Arabidopsis thaliana: one gene and its partner. The protein of the gene in region 1 binds, or shares a complex with, the protein of each later gene. Each region holds a gene or a part of one and is shown on either strand. Other genes may lie near its edges. The genes, in order: ACD2 and PPH.

Evidence for each region.
Region 2: ACD2 (region 1) and PPH share a complex: the UniProt entries of both Arabidopsis thaliana proteins name them as parts of the SGR1-CCE-LHCII complex.

What each region holds. Positions count from the first base shown.
Region 1 is NC_003075.7:17,440,582-17,444,983, forward strand, and holds ACD2 (accelerated cell death 2 (ACD2)), read left to right. Parts: upstream 1-2,030; 5' UTR 2,031-2,045; coding exon 2,046-2,387; intron 2,388-2,563; coding exon 2,564-3,181; 3' UTR 3,182-3,714; downstream 3,715-4,402. Other genes in the region: HSF4 (heat shock factor 4), read left to right, coding at 79-297, 490-1,125; CEN2 (centrin 2), read left to right, coding at 3,734-3,736, 3,831-3,960, 4,038-4,074, 4,163-4,190, 4,297-4,402. UniProt on the Arabidopsis thaliana protein: Catalyzes the key reaction of chlorophyll catabolism, porphyrin macrocycle cleavage of pheophorbide a (pheide a) to a primary fluorescent catabolite (pFCC).
Region 2 is NC_003076.8:4,450,978-4,456,562, forward strand, and holds PPH (pheophytinase), read right to left. Parts: upstream 3,732-5,585; 5' UTR 3,535-3,731; intron 3,384-3,534; 5' UTR 3,331-3,383; coding exon 3,271-3,330; intron 3,174-3,270; coding exon 2,538-3,173; intron 2,195-2,537; coding exon 1,968-2,194; intron 1,868-1,967; coding exon 1,676-1,867; intron 1,577-1,675; coding exon 1,420-1,576; coding exon of another isoform or gene 1,414-1,419; exon of another isoform or gene 1,338-1,413; coding exon 1,086-1,337; 3' UTR 758-1,085; downstream 1-757. Other genes in the region: AT5G13810 (Glutaredoxin family protein), read left to right, coding at 4,792-5,585. UniProt on the Arabidopsis thaliana protein: Alpha/beta hydrolase dephytylating specifically the Mg-free chlorophyll pigment (pheophytin), yielding pheophorbide. No activity on chlorophyll. Belongs to the chlorophyll catabolic enzymes (CCEs).

The DNA of each region.
Region 1 (4,402 bases):
ATCTTTCTTCTTCTCTTTGTGTATTAGATTATTTTTAGTTTTATTTTTCTGTGGTAAAATAAAAAAAGTTCGCCGGAGATGACGGCTGTGACGGCGGCGCAAAGATCAGTTCCGGCGCCGTTTTTAAGCAAAACGTATCAGCTAGTTGATGATCATAGCACAGACGACGTCGTTTCATGGAACGAAGAAGGAACAGCTTTTGTCGTGTGGAAAACAGCAGAGTTTGCTAAAGATCTTCTTCCTCAATACTTCAAGCATAATAATTTCTCAAGCTTCATTCGTCAGCTCAACACTTACGTGAGTTTCACTCTAACGAAAACTCATTTACTCTCAATTTAATGCTTCATTTAATTCGTTTGGTGAATTGAATCATTCTTTTGTAGTTGGTTAGCCAATTTCGTAATTTTCTCATAATTTGGGGGTTGGTGAGAAAACCTTCTAGAAGCTGAGAATGTTCTTGTTCTTTTTTTTTTTTTTTTTTTGGTTTAGGGATTTCGTAAAACTGTACCGGATAAATGGGAATTTGCAAACGATTATTTCCGGAGAGGCGGGGAGGATCTGTTGACGGACATACGACGGCGTAAATCGGTGATTGCTTCAACGGCGGGGAAATGTGTTGTTGTTGGTTCGCCTTCTGAGTCTAATTCTGGTGGTGGTGATGATCACGGTTCAAGCTCCACGTCATCACCCGGTTCGTCGAAGAATCCTGGTTCGGTGGAGAACATGGTTGCTGATTTATCAGGAGAGAACGAGAAGCTTAAACGTGAAAACAATAACTTGAGCTCGGAGCTCGCGGCGGCGAAGAAGCAGCGCGATGAGCTAGTGACGTTCTTGACGGGTCATCTGAAAGTAAGACCGGAACAAATCGATAAAATGATCAAAGGAGGGAAATTTAAACCGGTGGAGTCTGACGAAGAGAGTGAGTGCGAAGGTTGCGACGGCGGCGGAGGAGCAGAGGAGGGGGTAGGTGAAGGATTGAAATTGTTTGGGGTGTGGTTGAAAGGAGAGAGAAAAAAGAGGGACCGGGATGAAAAGAATTATGTGGTGAGTGGGTCCCGTATGACGGAAATAAAGAACGTGGACTTTCACGCGCCGTTGTGGAAAAGCAGCAAAGTCTGCAACTAAAAAAAGAGTAGAAGACTGTTCAAACCAGCGTGTGACACGTCATCGACGACGACGAAAAAAATGATTTAAAAAACTATTTTTTTCCGTAAGGAAGAAAAGTTATTTTTATGTTTTAAAAAGGTGAAGAAGGTCCAGAAGGATCAACGCAAATATATAAATGGATTTTCATGTATTATATAATTTAATTAGTGTATTAAGAAAATAAAACAGATGTTGAAGTTTTATTGTTGCTTAATTTATGTCTTCATAATGTAAAAAAGCATGTGAAATACTTGGTCTAAGGTCATCTACTTAGTTGAAAACTTGTGAAAGAGGAAGAAATTTTACTTTTATGTTTGATTGATTTTCTTTGCAAGTAGTAGTAGGTGGTTTCCGTGTTTTTACGTAATCCGTTGAATATTTTTCCCTCGAAATTGTCTTTATAAAAGTCACAGAAACATTTTCTAGAACTCTTTATCAGGAAAATAAAAATAAAGATGTCTTCAAGGAATCGAAAAAATACAGCAATATACTAAATAGAAAATGCTATGAAATTAAATAAAAATTTAGTAAGGTTCCAAAGACACTACTTAACTAGAGAGAAAAATAATTCCAACTAGCTCTACAACAAACAAATCATTTACTTGTTTAAGAATCGAAAAATTTAGAAATTTATTCTTATTATTTGTTTGCCCAATTAAGTCGCTCTTGGCCCAATACTTGCATCACTTGATTGAGTAGAAGAAGATCACTTACCAACTCTCAAACCATTTAAAAATTAAAAAGCATAGTTTATTTTATTTAAATATGTGTATGTAATAATTCACCACAAGAAATATATTACAAACCACAAAACTATAATCCCGGTAAAATAGTAATTAATTTCTTCAAAAGTGTAAATAAAAAAGAAGAGACATAATTTAGTCATAGCCACATAAAAAATGGCGATGATATTTTGCAACACTCTCTACTCTTCTTCTTCTCCATCATATCTCTCGCCGTTAACTTCAAAACCGTCGCGATTCTCAAAGAATCTCAGACCTCGAGCTCAATTCCAGTCCATGGAAGACCACGACGATCACCTCCGCCGAAAATTTATGGAGTTCCCGTATGTGTCACCCACGCGGAAGCAGCTCATGGTTGATCTCATGTCGACGGTGGAGAATCGCCTCCAATCACAACTCCTTCCCTGTAACCTCCCTCCAGATGTACGAAACTTCAATAACCCTAACGGTTCCGCCGAAGCATCTCTTCATATCAGATCCGGCGACAAATCTTCTCCGGTACTTGCGACGATTAACTCTGTTTTTCAGTTATGAGATCGAAATTGACTGTTTTGCATGCTTGTTTTAGAGCTCAATTGCTTGATTTTAAGTAGAAACAGACTTCAATTTCGATGTAAATCATAACCCTAAAAAAAAACTTTTTAGAGAATCTTAAAGTTTGTTTTGTTTTGCAGATTGATTTTGTTATAGGAAGTTGGATACATTGCAAGATCCCAACAGGAGTATCTTTGAATATAACAAGCATCTCTGGATTCTTAAACTCATCAACAAAAGCTCCAAACTTTGTGGTCGAACTAATACAGAGCAGTTCCAAGTCGCTTGTGCTAATCCTTGACCTCCCACATCGTAAAGATCTTGTTCTTAACCCGGATTATCTCAAGGAGTATTACCAAGACACTGCTCTTGATTCTCATCGACAATCTCTCCTTAAGCTACCTGAAGTTAACCCTTATGTGTCTCCTTCTCTCTTTGTCCGTTCTGCTTTCTCTCCTACTGCTTCGATGCTTAAGATTGATGCGGAGGAAGAGGATAAGTTGGAGGAGATATTGAGAGATCATGTTAGTCCAGCTGCTAAGGAGGTTCTCGAGGTTTGGTTGGAGCGGTGTGTGAAGGAAGAAGAAGAGAAGATTGTGGTTGGGGAAGAAGAGAGAATGGAGTTGGAGAGAAGAGATAAAAGCTTTAGAAGGAAGAGCATAGAGGACGATTTGGATTTGCAGTTTCCGAGAATGTTTGGTGAAGAAGTTTCCTCCCGTGTTGTACACGCTATTAAAGAAGCTTTCGGTGTTCTCTAGATTATGTAACTATATATATACATCAGTTAATGTTCATTGTACTAAACATTTACTTTCATCAATGTCACAAGAACGCAAGATGACCATCAAACAAGTCCTGTTTTCTCCTAAGAACGTCTTTGTTGTGAATCATCTCTGAATCGGATTCCTTCTGATTCATTTTAATACTATGGGATTGTAAATTTATCAATCAAGTTTCTAATTTATCTGTAAAAAAAAGTCTTGAATTATTGTTTTTCTCATGGATTTTAAAGTTTTTTTTTCACTATTTTACATGGATGTTTTGTTAAATTTCTCGTTCTCTAGATCATGTCATTTTACATTAGCAAAACCAATATAATATATAGATTAATATTAACGAAGGAACATAAACGTGCAAAACTAAAAGTTTTAAAGCTAAATCGCTTTCAAAAGAGTTAGTAACCAGACAAAAAAGAGACAGATCATCGGCAACTAATCTCGTCATCGCATGCATCATAAACCAAATTAACTAAATCATCCATTTAATCCATTTGTTCTTATCAGATCATCCTTTTCCTTCCTACACAAGAAATGGTTAGTGTTTTCTTTTCTCGATTGTCTCTTAGTTTAGATTCTTTATCCGACTACTTTGTTCATCGGTTTTGTTTTTCTTTTTGTCTTCCGGAAGGCGAATTACATGTCGGAAGCAGCACAGCTCAGAAGAGGTCTAAAGCCTAAAGGGAAGACTTATGGGTTGACCAATCAGAAGAGACGAGAGATCAGAGAGATCTTTGATCTTTTCGACATAGACGGTTCAGGTAAACTATTAAACCGATTCTTTATCCGATTTACAAAGTTATTGCTCACATGATTTAGTGCATCATTTCATATGTAGGTAGCATCGATGCTAGCGAGCTCAACGTTGCTATGAGGTCAACGGCAATTTTTCTTTCTTTTTCAAAGTTATTTTCTTCAAGTTCTAGTTAAGTATAGTACTAAAAAATTATCAGCTGATTACAGGTCTCTTGGATTTGAGATGAATAATCAGGTTTGTTTGTTTTCCTTCCTTTTTTCTTCTTTGTTTTAATTTCATGGTTTAGATCATTGTACGTAGAACCAACTTGTATTTAGTTTGGTCATGTTCATTGTTGCAGCAAATAAACGAATTGATGGCAGAAGTAGATAAAAACCAAAGTGGAGCCATAGATTTCGACGAATTTGTGCATATGATGACAACCAAATTCGGAGAACGAGACTCCA
Region 2 (5,585 bases), on another chromosome or scaffold:
TAAAAACTCGGTAATGAATGTTGTGTGTTGCATGGCCACTGTTTTGCGTGCTCTCTTTTTTCAATTTTAGGGTTTTTTGCATGATACCTTTTTGCCACATTTGGAGGATTTTGTCAGTTCTTCTGGGTCCTACTTTCCCTTTTCTTCCTAAAGTTGTTTTTTTCTTTCCTCTTTTTTCCTTCCCTTTAAAATTAGATTTATTAGTACTAGTGTATTTTCTCTTTAATGTTGTTGTAAGACATAAATCAGACCAACAATGTTGACCGACATAAAAATAAAAAAAAGTTCAGAGCAACAATTAGAAACAATTTCAAAGTACCCCCAAGAATAAAATTGCAACAACTAGCATTGTTTGATGGTTACCATTATGTTATCAACTAGTGAGAGATAAAAAAACATACTGAGAAGTAATTTCTTACAACTAGTGTAGAACGACACTTTAGTAGCAGCTTTGTAACACCGGTTTTTTTTTTTTGACACTCAAATCAATAAATAGATAACGAGATTTTATCAGAGACTAAGAAACAAATTAAGAAAAGAAGCAGACCAAATCTCATGTTGGATATATAGCCTGTGTAAGTAAGTTTCTCAAAAGTGGTTTGGATAGCCTTCTAATTCAGTCCCTTATTTGTTGACCGTGGAACTGACAAAAATGAGATTCAAGCTAAGGGAAGAATATGGTCAAGGATACGACTTTGCCTCGAGAAAAGTAACCAATGATACGTCTTTTCAAACACCATACATGTTCAATAAAACTGTTCACCTTTGGAAATTATTAACAATTCAAATACACTCACTTTCTTCTTTTGGAATCAGAGTAATTTCAAGCTCTCTTCCAATTTTTAAGACAACTCATATGGCCTGCAATGTCGCCTTCCTATATTAATCTGAACCTGTGGATTATATACAACAATGCAAGAAAGGAGTTCCTTCGATTTAGGTGACTAACTATCAAGTAGATATTTTTCTAACTTTTCCTTTTGAACATTTTAGAAACTTGATTCTACAGACAACATTATATAGCTAGCATCGGATGCAACATAGATTACAATTAATTTACACTAGACGACTGTTCCATGCTTCTTCTATGCAGACTTCCCTCCAAACACCCTTATAAAACTGGATCTGAAAGATTCTCTAACTCCTCTCCAGTACGTATAGTTTGACCCATATAACCACAGATTCACTGCTTTTTTCCAACCATCTCTCGGGAACTCAATTTCTCTACCAATCCTGGACTCCTCCCAATCTTCTTCAGTGTCCTCCAAAAGCGGGAGCGCTTCAAAACCACCAGACTCCAGGTGCTTGATCCACCCGCGCATCAGATAGTTCACCACCTGCTCGTTTTCATATCCCAAATGGTGGGTTCATTATACCTAATTGCAGAGTTTGAAGAATTTATTGACTAGTTCATTATACCTCAGGGACTTCATCGTGTGGGCAGTGACCCGCTGGGCTGATCTCGTAGTATGGAGCGTTGGGGATTTCCTTCTTTATCTTCTTTCCCCATAACGGTCTCACCCATGGATCTTCTCTTCCATACATGAGACATATCTGAACATTGTTTTCCTTACACCTAGCATAAACCATCAAATAGCAGCATTCCTCATAAGCAATAACACCAATCACGCAGAGTAAAAAACATATAAAAACAAGAAACCACACTGTCTTATACCTAGATAAAGCTTCGGAGAAAGATAGCTCTCCACCAGGAGCAAGCATGATTGAAGCAAACGATGCTGCAGCAGCCGGATGCTGTGTGACCTCCACAATACGTGAGAATACTTTATCCACATTGATAGAATGGTCTGTGTAGACCTGTTTAAGTATCTCAGCTATGCTTTCAGGATCACTTATCTTTTGCCACCTGCAGTTTCATTGGGAAGTAAAGATATTAGACTGATAGAGATAGAAATAGAAAATGATACTTTTCAGGTGAGGAGATGTGTTAATAAAGTCTCCCTTACACCAATTCTGTGATTTTTTTCACTCTTTCCGGCAGAGGGAATGCTCCGGGCCATGGAAAGAGACGTGCTAGCTTTGGGGATCTTACTGGATTAGGGAAGAAACCCCAGAAAGGTGTTGCATTAAGCAAGGTAACACCCTTAACCAGGTGAGGATGGGTTGCTGCAAAGTAGAGAGCTACATACCCTCCAAGTGAGTTCCCTGCAATGTACACAGGCTCACCGATAACCTGTACAACACAAATACCACATACTCTTACCGACTCAGCAGCTTATTTCAGATGAAAAAGATCGTGATCTCAAACTAGAACACAAACGGAATCAAAGAACAGAGATGAATTCTAATATCTAGTGCATCCTAAACTTTCCCATTCCCAAAGCAACACCAGAAGACTCCATACCCACACTTTCAGGTTCTGAGCTGAAAACTATTGAAATCCATGAGTATACGACACATAGCAACAATCTACACTAAAAAAAAAAAGCTAACACACTGCTTTTGAAATTACGACTAAAAGAACAAAATCAACAGCTTAAAGAGTAATAGAACAACTGAACTCAGATATTGCTAACCTCTTCTACAAAATACTGAACTTGATCCCTCCAGAGATCCAGAGAGAATACAAGTTGATCAGCCCACGGTTCAGTTTTGTCACCAAATCCCCAAAATGGTTCCTTATCTTCCGAGGAACTGGTTTCTTCAGTCATGGTAGTAGGATCTTCAGTAGGGAGAGATAAACCCTGTCCAAGAAAATCAATAGCCCATACTCGATAATCCCTTCCCAAATCGGTAAGCTGCTTCTCATAGTGAAATGAACCAACGCCAAAGCCAGGAAGAAACAACACCGCAGGAGCATCGAGATTGTCACAACCGGCTTTCTCATAATGTACTCTAAGCTTGGGCTTCCACTCGCAGTGAGAATGACTGATTCGAGCAGCAATTTCACCATTTGATTCATCAGGCAAACCAGGAATCAAAACCTTTGACGTTGATTCTCCTCTTCTGGCTATACGACCCAAGTCATCATTCTCACCAACAACATAACCATCGGAATTTCCACTTCGAATCACAAGTCTGGATTTTTTGACCCCTGAGAATAACAAACTTGACCGATTTGGGACCAATCTTTTCGTTGCTAATTTACTACTCCAAGTAACCACAGAGCACTGGGGCACAACGTTCAGTGAGATTATCTCCATAACAAGTTCCTGCAAATGAACAACCAAAAGGCATATCCTTTAATACGAATTTTCCACTCATATATCTCAACTTCATAGCAAAGCTAAGAATAACAAGGAAAATCACATATGAAGCTGGAATCTTTGTATAGTTATCAGAATTTTGCTTCAAAAGCTGAAACCACATACAAAAAGTTGATGAACTTGCGGTAATCTTCTATGAACTCGTCTTATCAAATCCTAATCAAAACAAAGCAAATCAAGGTCAAGCCAATCTTCTATCAAATTGAAACCAAACAACAACAACACCACCCGATTCATCGACAAAGAACTCCAGCTATATAATAAACCCAGGAAGAAAAGAAAGAAAAGAGAGAGTTGCAACTTGTACCTTTTCAAATTCCAGAAGCGAGAAGCTTCATCAAATGGTCTCTCTGAGAGCGTTATTGAGAAATTAAGCGAGGAAAAATCTAAAGGTGAAGAAGAAATAGAAGAATTGGGTTGCTTGCTGGCTTGGTTAACTTCAATCGTTCGGTGCAAACCGACAGCAACGTTTTTATCGAGTTTTTATTTTTTCTTAAAGGATCCAAAATTCATACTGTATTATTAAGTGTAGGGTTATTTTTTTCACAATATGACATTTTGTTTTGGATCTGACATTGCTAATTTGACACCGATGTAACATTGCAAAAACACATGTTTGTTGCAAAAATATGACAGAATAATATTTTTTTTAAAAACAATTGATTTTTGATCTTCTTTTCCATTGTGTAACAATCGGAAAACAAAAAAAACAATCGAAAAACCTGCAGTTTTCATATCAAACAATATAAAACCCGTTTAATTTTTGAATGGTTTAATCACTATTTTAACGGTGTTATTTGAGTTTTCTAGTTGATTTTAAATGTTAGAGAATTGATCTTGTGTGAACTAAAAATCCTAATGGTCGAAGACTAGAAAGCGAAATACACTACTCTTCAATTAGAATACAGACAACTATCTCTAAACCGAGCGTAGAATCAATAGCAATAAACCGACCGTAGAAACTGGTTTCGCTGTAACCATAACCTTTCTTAATAAGACAACCGCGTTTTACCAGTAAACGACTTTTCCTCGCAATTTAATCCCACTTTTGTTATTTTTTCAAATTCGTTTTTCCTCGAAGGAGCATCGAGTAAATATATCATTAAAGAGCCTTTAATAACTTAGACATAATAATTATATCTTTAAAAAAAAAACAGAAAAATTCTTTGCTTTGCAACAAAGGCAGACAGACAAAAGGCTAATTCGGAGCTCTCCTCCACATCTTCTTCCAAAACACAAACAAACCCCCAAATTTCCAGAAAAATCAGATCATTCTTTCATCAATCTCGTCTTCTTTAATCTTAGGTGAGAATTCATCAGCTCAAAAACGCAGCACCCGATCGTTTTACGACTCAAATCAGAGAAGCTGATTCTTTTCCAATCATTCCAATTTCCATTTCTTCCTTGGGAGGTGATCGACGATTATTCAATTTATGTTTTTCAATTTCTCTTTCTGTATTCGTCAATTTGCTTGAATTTGATCCTAGGGTTTTGATTTTGTTGACTATTTTAGGTTTTACACCAAATTAGCCGTCGAAAGGGGTGCTTCTTTGATCTAATTTCGATGGCGGGATTAGAGAAAAACGCTGATTTCTCAGGGAAGACGACGAAATCGGCTACAACGACGTCGTTCTTCAACAGGTCGCTTACAATTCACGGAAGAACAGTGGTGGATTCGGGCCCCAAATCCCACAATCTCAATCCTTCTCTCAATCGTACCACCTCCATTACCAAATTCTACACCCCCGTAGAATCGATGGGAACTTCTCTTAAAGGCAAAGTCAAAAACCTTTGTAGATTATTCGAGACTTCCAAACCCGTTAAACCTGCCTTAGCTGAGATTCCTCAGAAGCAGAAATCCGGTAAATCCCTTTTACCCGAATCGCGGATATCGCCTTTTTCGAGCTTAAACAACTCGGTCATCCGTCTTCCCGGGACAGAGGACAGGATTGTGGTGTATTTTACTAGCTTGAGAGGGATTAGACGGACGTATGAGGATTGCTATGCTGTCAGAATGATATTTAGAGGGTTTCGGGTTTGGATCGATGAGCGCGACGTCTCCATGGATATCGCTTATAGGAAAGAGTTGCAGATTGCAATGGGAGAGAAGTCTGTGTCTTTGCCTCAAGTTTTCATTATGGGCAAGTATGTTGGTGGTGCTGATGTGATCAAGAGTTTGTTTGAGATTGGTGAGCTTGCTAAGATTCTTAAAGAGTTTCCAATGAGACAACCAGGGTTTGTTTGCCATTGCTGTGGGGACATTCGATTTGTTCCGTGTTCCAATTGTAGTGGCAGCAAGAAACTGTTTGATGAGGATGAAGATAGGGTCAAGAGATGTCCTGAATGCAATGAGAATGG